3 linked regions of the Cricetulus griseus genome follow. The main gene of each other region encodes a partner of the protein of the gene in region 3 in a complex. Links are inferred from orthologs where the notes say so. Each region holds a gene or a part of one and is shown on either strand. Other genes may lie near its edges.

Region 1 (3,651 bases), on a different chromosome or scaffold from region 3:
GCAACTTTACTCCTGAGCTACCCTGTCTACTCCTTCATGTTTTTATACTCATCCTTCCCTGTCATATACCTTTTCCCTGTCTCCTTATAAATATAAATGTGAGCCTGCAAAACTTTGGATGTAGTAACAAAAATAGTAGCATGTACTTTGTCTGGGAGTCTTGCTGTTCACTCCGACTACCCTGGTACTCTCTGTGTGTGGCCCAGGCTGACCTTAGACTCAAGGTAGTCTTTCTCCCTCAGCCTCTGGATGTTGGAATTAAGGTATGCACCACTGCACCCAGTTTAAATGGTGGGATTCACTCTGAAGTTCATTTAATCTTAATTTAAATTTTGAGCAACATAATGGAGTAAGCAGGTTATGTTCATTCTACCCACGCACTGTGTCTGAAGTAAGCAGGTTATGGTCATCCCACCCACCCACTGTGTCTGAAGTGTGCACTTCCCCTGATGTGTGTACGCCTCCCTGTATTTTCCTACTCTGACCATCACCACCTTGCCAGTGCCCTGAGCGTTTAAAGTGACTTTCTACATCATCCACTTTCTCAGCTACATTGCAGTCAACCATGCTCTCTAATCCTCTTTCCCTTCTGCACTGTGAAGAGTTGCCTCAGCTGCACTAGCTACTCTTGCAGATGGGACACAGGTTCTGTTCCTAGCAAGTACTTGGTACTCAACACCATCTGTAAGTCCAGTTCCTAGGGATCCAACCCCCTCTTTCTGGCCTTCACAAGCACCAGGAGCATACATGGTGCATATACATACATGCAGGCAAAATGCATAAACATACTAAATAAATCCAAACTTCACTTTTCTCCACTGCTCTAGGGCCAAGCATGGTTTAACTCTGCCTTTTTTCTCATCCATATATTGAGTCACTCCTCTTATACTTTGTCAAGATTTTAAGCTCATACCTTTTCCTTTCAGGGAGGAAGGAAAGGAAGATTTTGACACTAGTATTGAGAGCAAAGAAACAGAGCAGAAAGATCTGGACCCTGATATGGTCACTGAGGATGAAGATGACCCAGGATCACAGAGAAGGAGCAGAAGAGGTATCATATCTGTTGGGTCATTTACGGCAGGGTTGTTTGTTTCTTGGCTATGTCTTGATTGAGCTATATTCAGGCCAGCATTAAACTCACTATGTTGCCAGAACTGACTTTGAACTCCTGACTCTCCTGCCTCTATCTCTCAGTGATGGGATTATAGGTATATGTTCCATGTCTATCTGTGGTGGTGTCTTACACATAGCCTTATAGCTCATGAGTTGTAAAAACCTGACCAATTTGTTATAAATGATGTTGTGGGGCCTCACTATGTAGTATATAGCCCAGACTTGTCTGGAACTTTCTTTTTCTTTTTTCTCAAGACAAGGTTTTTCTGTGTAGTCCTGGCTGTCCTGGAACTTGCTCTGTACACCTGGCTGGCCTCAAACTCAGATTCATCTGCCTTTGTCTCCCAAGTTGCTGTTACCACATCCTGGCATGTCTCGTATTTCTTTAATGAAAAATTAAAATATAATGAGGCTGAGTATGATGGCAGAGGCCTTAAAGAGCCAGGTCTATATGATGGGGCCCTGGCTCAACAATAACAGCAACAAAACCCAAAGAAACAAAATATAAATGGAATGTAATGATACATTTCTTTCAACACAGGAAAAGCTGGACAAAGTGGAGTCAAGCAGTGTATAAAGCAGGAGGAGATAAACTGCTGCATAAAGCAGGAGCCTCTTGCTGCTGATACAGAGGAAGCTTTGAGGCAGGAACATCAGCGGAAAGAGAAAGAACTCCTAGACAAGATCCAGAGTGCCATCGCCTGTACCAACATCTTCCCTTTGGGGCGAGACCGCATGTACAGGCGATACTGGATTTTCCCTTCTATTCCTGGCTTGTTTATAGAAGAGGATTTTTCAGGTCTCACTGAAGACATGCTGTTGCCTAGACCTTCATCATTTCATGATAATGCACAGTCTCACAACGCTCAGGTATCTGTTAAAACTGAAGAGTCATTCATGTCTGAATCTACCTCCAGTCTTGACCAAGGTCCATTTGACGATTCTATACTGCTGCCAAAACCGGTGCATAAGCCAAATCGGTGGTGCTTCTACAGTTCTGAAGACCAACTGGACCAGCTGATCGAAGCTCTCAACTCCAGAGGACACAGAGAAAGTGCCTTAAAAGACACCCTGCTGCAGGAGAAGAGCAGGATATGTGCTCAGCTGGCCCACTTTTCTGAAGAAAAATTTCACTTTTCAGGTAAATTTTTGTTTGTTTTGATTTTTGAGTCAGGGTCTCTACATATCGCAGGCTGTCCTGGAACACACTGTAGAACAGGATGACCTTCAAACCATGGAGATAGATCCACCTGACTTTCAGGTAAAGTTTCACTGAAAAGTATTGTGTTTTTTGTTTTTTGTTTTTTTCTTTTCCTATAATCCTAATCATTGAGGATTAAACCTATTTCAATCTGTTACACAGACGTAAAAATATGTTAATGTGGGCATATATTTCTTCATACAGACTAAGGTTCACAAAATGTCTTTATGTTGTTTGGATCATGAGTAACCATCTAGAGTATGAACAGGTCTCAGTAGACTGACTGCTTGTATTATTCAGCTTTGCATTGCTGTGACAAAATAACCTGCACTCCTGGGTTTGGCAGGAGTGACCAAGTATCACAGTGGTAGCTTGGAAACAGAAAACTGCAGTAGCTCACTTCCTTCTCTTTCCACCTTTATTGCTCTGGGCCTCCAGTCTATTTGGGTGGTGCCACCCCATTCAAGGTGGTTCTTTGACCTTCTGCTTCTGGCTACTGTCATATATGTTACTGGTCTAGAAACACCAAAGTGTACTTTACTGATTTCCCACAGATAGCCCAAGACTCTAAGTTTTGAAGATGCTATAGTAAATGGGATTAATTCCAGCCAGATTCATACATTAGTGGTTTCTGGAGGCAGAGTGGCTGCCAGGGCAGATCAGGGAGCAGTACTTCTTGTGGGAGGCTGACTCACTGATGGTAGATTAGAAAAGGAAAACCTCCCTTGATGAGAGTTTGGAGAACTGCTTACATTTGGGGCATGTTAACTATGTCATACTTTATGGTTTTTTTTTTCTTTTTATTTATTCTTTTCTCATATGTTACATTCGGACTGCAGTTTCCCTCCCTCCACTCCTCCCAGTTTAATTCCCCACACACTTTTCCTCTCCCCCATATACACTTCTCTTCAGAAAAGAGTAGGCCTCCTGGAGATATCTAACAACATGCAATAAAACCTCATAGCAAAAAGCCTCATAGCAAAGCAACCCACTAGGAACAAAAGGGTCAGAGACCCCACTGTTACCCAGGCTAAAGGACCACAGCATATATACAGAGGACCTAGCACATTCCCATGCAAGCTCTGCGATTGTCACTTCAGTCTCTGTAAGCCCTTATGAGCCCTGCTTTTGTGTGGGTCATGCTCTCCTGGTTCCCCCACCCCTCTGACTCCAATAATCCTTGCTTCCCCTCTTCCAAAGGATTCCCCGAACTCCACATGATGTTTGGCTGTGGATCTCTGCATCTACTCCCGTCAGCTGCCAGAGGAAGCCTCTCTGATGATTGAGCTAGGCACTGATCTATAAGTATCGCAGAATATCATTAGGAATCATTTCAT
Region 2 (3,651 bases), on a different chromosome or scaffold from region 3:
GATTGTGAGCCTCTATGTGGGTGCTGGAAATCAAACCCTGGTCCTGTGCAAGAGCCACAGTGCTCTTAGCCATTGAGTCAGTACTCCAGTCCTTGGCTGTTTTAAAAGATTTATTTTTAAATTTTGTCATTTATGTGTGTGTATCTTTGAGAGTATAATATGCACATATATGTGCCAGTGCCCGTGAGAGCCAGAAGAGGGCATTGGGTCCCTTGGAACTGCATTACAGGTATTAGCAAGCAGTCTGACATGGGTGCTGGGATGTGAACTTGGGTCTTCATGATTGCTTAACCACTGAGCCATCTCTTCAGCACTAAGAAGGCAGAGGCAGGAGGATCTGTGAGTTCAAGGCCAGCCTGGTCTACAGAGTGAGTTCCAGGACAGCCAGGACAATCAGGTCCATTACACAGAGAAACCCTGTCTCAACTACCCCCGTCCCCCCCAAAAGAAACCCTTAGGTTTACTTCATAGTATGTGTATTATTTTTATTAGATGTTCTTATTTCTTATGTTTATTACATATTTCATATGGTGTGTCCACTACCAGGAGTACATGCAGTGGTAATCTTATAAATTCAAAGTTCCCAAATATACAGCTGTCATTGAGAGATATGGAAGTAAATCACTTTTATTCTTTGTTATAAAAAGGTCTGCTTATTTGTTTATTTATTTTTGCTTTTTAAAGATAGAGTCTTACTGTGTATCGCAGGGTGACTAGCTGCTGACCCATGCCTTCCACTATGAGGATGTCATTTTGCTTTGTACTTTTGTGTGTATATGGTGTAGGGGAGAAGAGTATGCACATGCCATGCGTGGCATTCGTGTGGAGCCCAGAGAGCAGCGTTGTGACATCAGTTCTCTTTCCGCCTTTCCATGGGCAGGGGACTCAACTCAGGTCACTAGGCTTGCATTGTGGGTGGCAAGCCTTGTATCCACTAAGCAATTCTACCTGCAAAATTGTTATAGTTGTGATTTTTCTTTTTAATAAATGTTTTCTTGGCTTATACATTAGCAGGACTTTTTTTTTAAGATTTATTTATTTATTTATTTATTATAGATACAGTGGTCTGCCTGCATGTATGTCTGCCTGACCAAAGAGGGCATCAGATCTCATTATAGATGGTTGTGAGCCACCATGTGTTTGCTGTTAACCACTGAGCCATCTCTCCAGCCCCTGATTTTTCTTTTTCTTTTTTTTTTTTTTTTAAGAGATGGGTCTTATATTTTTTTTGAGACAAGGTCTCCAGTTGTAGAACAGGCTGGCCTCAAATTCATGGCAATACTCAGCCTCCTAATGAGTGGGAGTACAGATCACCACACCCCTTTTTTGTCCTTTATGAGCTGAATTAGGAAATAACTTTATTATGTGTATGGTTAATTCAAAATGACTAAAGGGAGGGTTGGTTTTATGATAAATGGTGTTCAGTGAAAACTTAAATTGTTTTCCCCTAGGTTATGTGATAATTTCATTCTAAGAGCAGTGTTCATTGGTGTTCTGTGATTCAGGGATCCCTTATTTTGTAAATATCCTAGGTCTTCGCAGAAATCAATACTTGATTTAAAACTACTATTCTTGTTTTCACTGATGAACTGTTTTGCTTTGTTTGTGTTGCTGCAGTTTGTGAAGACTGTCTTATCTCAGGGACATCTGACTCCTCTGCCTCTCTATGTGTGCCCCGTCCACTGGACGTATGATTACACTTTGAGAGTGTACCCTGTGCCTGATCTGCTGGTCATTGCAGACAAGTATGATCCTTTCACCGTGACAAACACTGAGTGCCTCTGCATAAACCCTGTAAGGATGCCGTGGATGCTCTAGAGTACAGCACATTTCTCTGTCTTTTCTCTAATTTTAAAAATTACTTCTCTCTCTCTCTCTCTGTGTGTGTGTGTGTGTGTGTGTGTGTGTGTGTGTGTGTGTGCGCACACGCGCGTGCGCGTGCGTGTCAGGGTGTATGCCATGGTGAGAGTCAGTTCTCTCCTTCCACCATGTGGATCCCAAAAATGGAACAAGGTTGTCAGACTCAGCAGCAAGTACCTTACCCACTGAGCCTCTTTGTACCCTATAGCACAATTCTATGAATTTATATAGAGAGTAAAATCATCATGACAAAATATATAGTCAAACACTGATATAATTTGGTATACATAGAAGATTCTTAAATGCTCAGTATGTGATGTAACTATAAAGTATTGTAGTTTTTTTCGTTGTTTTGTTTTTTTCATACAGGGTTTCCCTGTGTAATAGCCCTGGGTGTCTTGGAACTCACTCTGTAGACTAGGCTGGTCTTGAACTCACAGAGATCTACCTGCCTGTGCCTCCCCAGTACTAGGATTAAAGGCATGTACCACCACTGCCTGGCAACTGATTCTTATGAATTTTAAATCTTAATATTTTTTGTTTCATCTGGGTCACATCTAGAAGCATTATGACCTGGATTGGTTACTTTTGTCAAATGTACATTTGTGTGGCTTTCTCTACACAGGGCTTATCATCAACCTTGGCACTTTTGCATCTTGGACCAAGTAATTCTTGGTTGTAGGAGGCTTTCATGTACACTGTGGGAAGCTCAGCAGTATACTTGTATCTCCCGATGCTGGTTACATCTTTCACTTGTGACAATCATAAGTACCCCTAGATGTTTGCTGAATGTCTATTGAGGGACAATAATCCCTGGTTGCAAATCACTCTCTAGGGATCAGCATTCTCCAAGGTTAACTCACTGGCATCATTACATAAAATTTGTGGTCTGATTTTCACAGTCTTCTGATTTTCAAAGGTTAACTCACTGGCATCATTACATAAAATTTGTGGTCTGATTTTCACAGTCTTCTGATTTTCAGTCTTTTTCTTGTTTTAGATTTATGTGTATAAATGTTTTGCTTCTATGTATGCGTGTGTACTGTGTGTGTGCCTGGTGACTGAGAATGTCCAAAGAGGGCATTGGATTCCCTAGAACTGGAGTTATGATGATTGTGAGCTGCCTTGTGGTTGCTGGGAATTGAACCCAGTTTCTCTGCATGAGAGTCAGTGCTCCTAACAGCTGTGCCATCTCTCCAGCTCCTCTGTGTATTACATTTAAATATCCAATGAGGCTATTTCCTCATTGGATATTCTCTTTAGTTGCTACATCTTTGGACATTTTCTTAGTTGATGCTATTTTAAAAAACACCTTACCAATGGGTTTTCCCACTCTGATCTTGAACTGTATGAGCAACCTCCTCTAGCACCATTCTCTCTTTCTCTTTTTTTAAAAAATATTATTTATACCTTTTAGTTAGGATCAAAACTTGGTTTTGATATTGCTTCATTACTTTTTTCTTTCTTAAAAAAAGATAATTATGGGGCTGGAGAGATGGCTCAGAGGTTAAGAGCACTGACTGCTCTTCCAGAGGTCCTGAGTTCAGTTCCCAGCAACCACATGGTGGCTCACAACCATCCGTTATGAGACCTGGTGCCCTCTTCTGCTGTGCAGATATACATGGAAGCAGAATGTTGTATACATAATAAATAAAATCTTTTTTAAAAAGTTGTTTTTTTAAAAAAGATAATTATATGTATGTGTCTGTGTGGCTATGTGCATTTGTGTGCAGGTGCTCATAGACACCAGGGGTGTCGGATGCTCCTGAGTGGGGAAATGGTTGTGAGCCA
Region 3 (3,751 bases):
AAGACACACATACACACACACACACACTCACAGAGGGGGGGGCGAGAGAAAACATTAGTTTCTCATGAAGAATTTTTTCTGTACTTGATATGAAAATTATATACCTTAAAACACTATTGAAAATGTAAAATCCTGTAATGACTTTAATGGGGAATATGTACGAAGAATCACTTAATGAATTAAAAAATACAACTTTAACATGGGTTGTTTTTTTTTTAATGAGAACGAGAATATGATGCATTCTTACAATCCGATGCTTCTCGCCCTTTCAGTACCGGAGCATTCCAAACTGAGCCCCGAAGTTTCATCAGGCGTCTCTCGATATCGGCAGCATTGCAGCTGTCCTAATAAAATAGTTGGCATTAAAAAAAAAGATTTAGATAAAGTTTATCTTTAATACGATTATCTCAAGTTGTGAGGGGAATAAGATTAAAGATGGACATCGGTAAATTTACATGCAGCAAAACTGGAAGAAAATCTCCACTGAGTTCCGAGCCAAAAAGAAAAAAAAAAAAAAAAGTGAAGGATTCAAGTGTCAGTCCGAGATTCCGCGGGATACAAGCAGATTCCAAATAGTGCTCTGTTCTGCACCTCTAGGGACAATGCAGAGAGAGAGAAAATGCTCCGAGGCTTTGGCCACGCCCACCTTTGCCCAAGGGGTCACGCCCACCTAGCCCAAGGGGTCACGCCCACCTAGCCCAAGGGTCACGCCCACCTCCTCCGGCGAGGCCACGCCCATCTCGGCCGTCGGAGTGTGGTCCCACAGGCTCAGTCTATGCCTTCACCTTCCATGCTAGGCACCATGCCCCCCCGTTGCCTAGCAGCGGCGCAGGGCACGATGGGAGAATAGACGGAAACCTCAGAGAGCCAAATTTAGTTTCGAAGGAAAGCTCCAGCGATACTGACAGTGCGTGGTAAAGAAACGAGCCTGGAGAGGAATGTCGAGGATACCGTGGAGGCTAACGGAAACCTCAGTGAGCCGAAACCATTGCGACTTGGAAAACTTGGCTACGCCGGCGACTTGAGGCGGGGTCTTGTGCAGAAGGGAAGCTGTGGTGCGCAAAGCACTGTGGGACACCCGGCAACGTGGGGTGGGAAGGAAGCCTCCGAGGGTCAGATCTTAGCGACGCGGGAAGTCCAGACACCAGAACTGTCTGAAGAGGAGGCCTGAGGCGGAGAAGGCTCGGGCTCCAGCGGAGGCAATGGCGGAGAGGCCCGAGGACCTAAATCTGCCCAACGCCGTCATTACTAGGATCATCAAGGAAGCGGTGAGCTGCTCGGGCTGGCGAATGGGTCGAGGGCGGACGAGTGGGCAGAAGGTTAACTAGATCCGCGTGTGTGTTTATCTCCACTCTCGCAGCTCCCGGACGGCGTCAACATCTCCAAGGAGGCCCGGAGCGCCATCTCCCGCGCCGCCAGCGTCTTCGTTCTGTATGCCACATCCTGGTGAGCCGAGCAGGGAGGGAGGCCCTGCGAGATCCTGACCCCGAGTTCATGGCCCCATTAATTGTTCCCCGACTCAGTAGATAGAGCGACTCACAGCTCCCCTCCAGTCCTCGCAAATTCTGAAGCAGGTGAAACAAGAAGGTTGCCGTATCCCTTTGTACGGAGAAGGAATGGACTGAGTCGTGTTACAAAAACCTATGACTCTAAGATAGATGTGGGTTTTCCCACCCCGCCTCTTTGGTGTCTCTTTTCCCCACCCACTCTGACAGCTCCTGAAGGGCTTTGCTTTTTCTTCCAGTGCGAACAACTTCGCAATGAAAGGGAAGCGAAAGACTCTGAATGCCAGTGATGTGCTGTCAGCCATGGAAGAGATGGAGTTCCAGCGGTTCATTTCACCATTGAAAGAAGCCCTAGAAGGTATTCACTCGCTCTTCAGTTTCTTAAGCCACACGGAAGCTGGTCATCCTTCGTTCCCTGATCACCTGATCTTAGTAATCCAATATTGGTCATGATTCAGCTCTGTTTAGTTGGTACCATCTCAGATACATGATGTGGGCCTGGTTGTTCTTCCTGTGGCTCAGTTTGTCTAATTAAACAATAATCTCCTTCTTTACAGCTTACAGGCGGGAGCAGAAAGGCAAGAAGGAAGCTTCCGAGCAAAAGAAGAAGGACAAAGACAAAAAGACAGATTCCGAAGAGCAGGACAAGAGCAGGGAGGAAGATGATGAAGATGAAGAAAGACTAGAAGAGGAAGAGCAGAATGAAGAGGAGGAAGTAGACAACTGAGTCGAGAGAATGGGCACTCTGCGGCACCATGGGAGTGACCAACCTCCCTGAGATGTTTTTATGCGAAGCCTTTCCCTGCAAGGCAGAGCCATCTTCGGCACAGGTGCCTAAGATCAGAATAAAAACTGACCAGAATGATCAAAACCAGCTCTTGCCAGGCTGAGGGCATCAGAGTAACAGAAACCTGTTTTGCTGAATCAGTCTGGAGGTTGTGACTTTTTAGTATAAGGGATTCTGACTGACTAAATAGTTTGATGTCATTTGTTTACTTAAGTATGTGGCTAGCTAGTTTTTGATCCCATTTCCCTGACCCTCCAAAAAAGTAATAACTTCCATGTTGCTTGCCTGCTGTGTTCTGGATCACAGAAGCACTCAAGGCTCAGGGGGAGGAAATGGGGCTTTGATCATGGTCACCCTGTTTGATTGTACAGTATCTGGCAATAGGTATTAATGGTCAGAATGGTTGCGCTTTAGGAAATGACTAAAAGGCTGTGAGAGAATAAGGTAATCTCTTCACTGGATGGTAGCATTACTTGTTTGTTTTGTTTTCTAGACTTAATTAGCCTGTAGCCCTTCTTTGTTGACTATAGATGTTCAGTCTTCTGGGGTGGCTGCACTCCTACACATACACTCTTAAATTCTCAGTGTTGATTAAATTCTGTCCAAAAAGGGTGTCAATTCTTAAAAACAGGTGACTTAATCTTAGGGTAACTCAGTGCCTGCCACTGTAGGATTTAGTGCTACCTCCTGGAAGGTATAAAATCCCAGGTTTTCTCTTGCTTAGTCCATCTCCCTGACTTGCAGCTGCTGCTTTTCATTCCTTGAACTCTTGACAAGTTCCAGATGTTATTTCCTCTAGGCATAGCCTTTTCCCTCTCCATCTCCTGCCTCTGCTTCCCAGCCCCTCTTTCTCCTTTTCTTAATTCATCTTCCAGTCTAGGAACTTTGGTAACCCATGTAGTGTCGCACAGTGCCAGTTCCTCAGATTCCTTAGTCCTACTCTCCTGAAACGCCTCTGAACCTTAAGGTAAATGTAACGGTGCTCAGGAATCTAGCAGCACAGCCACCACTGCTGTGGCTTTTGAAGTGTCTGTTGGCCTTTCCTTTCTCCCCATTTAGTGCTCCAAGCACCCTTTTTTTTTTTTTTTTTTTTTTTTTTTTTTTTGGTCTTAGTTGAGCACTTGAGGTTGAAAAGTAATGTAATATAGTTGGATACTGTTAGCTAGTTGAGTGAATACAATGAAGAGTTTATTGAAAGTGATGAGACTGTTGAGAAGATTTTAATGCTTTTTACAAATAAAGAACATTCTTGTTTAAAATGGTGACTCATAACAGTGTACTTTCAGAAAGAACCTCTCTCTCTCTCTCTCTCTCTCTCTCTCTCTCTCTCTCTCACACACACACACACACACACACACACACACTCAATCTGCATCTCCTTGGCTCACCAGCAGGTGAGTGAGCATTCACAACTAACGACACTGCTCTTAACCACAGCCAACATTTTCTGAAATTCTCT

Evidence for each region. Proteins that work in one complex are often made in the same cells at the same time.
Region 1: Pole3 (region 3) and Baz1a share a complex: the UniProt entries of both Homo sapiens proteins name them as parts of the CHRAC ISWI chromatin remodeling complex. The link is inferred for Cricetulus griseus from reciprocal best matches to the Homo sapiens genes POLE3 and BAZ1A.
Region 2: Pole3 (region 3) and Pole2 share a complex: the UniProt entries of both Homo sapiens proteins name them as parts of the DNA polymerase epsilon complex. The link is inferred for Cricetulus griseus from reciprocal best matches to the Homo sapiens genes POLE3 and POLE2.

What each region holds. Positions count from the first base shown.
Region 1 is NC_048598.1:147,382,676-147,386,326, forward strand, and holds part of Baz1a (bromodomain adjacent to zinc finger domain protein 1A), read left to right. Parts: intron 1-926; coding exon 927-1,051; intron 1,052-1,654; coding exon 1,655-2,254; intron 2,255-3,651. UniProt on the Homo sapiens protein: Regulatory subunit of the ATP-dependent ACF-1 and ACF-5 ISWI chromatin remodeling complexes, which form ordered nucleosome arrays on chromatin and slide edge- and center-positioned histone octamers away from their original location on the DNA template to facilitate access to DNA during DNA-templated processes such as DNA replication, transcription, and repair.
Region 2 is NC_048598.1:134,165,669-134,169,319, forward strand, and holds part of Pole2 (DNA polymerase epsilon subunit 2), read left to right. Parts: intron 1-1,617; coding exon 1,618-1,794; intron 1,795-3,651. UniProt on the Homo sapiens protein: Accessory component of the DNA polymerase epsilon complex. Participates in DNA repair and in chromosomal DNA replication.
Region 3 is NC_048595.1:83,345,314-83,349,064, forward strand, and holds Pole3 (DNA polymerase epsilon subunit 3), read left to right. Parts: upstream 1-1,052; 5' UTR 1,053-1,202; coding exon 1,203-1,268; intron 1,269-1,360; coding exon 1,361-1,446; intron 1,447-1,744; coding exon 1,745-1,863; intron 1,864-2,062; coding exon 2,063-2,232; 3' UTR 2,233-3,555; downstream 3,556-3,751. Other genes in the region: CUNH9orf43 (uncharacterized protein C9orf43 homolog), read right to left, coding at 248-344, 716-739. UniProt on the Homo sapiens protein: Accessory component of the DNA polymerase epsilon complex. Participates in DNA repair and in chromosomal DNA replication.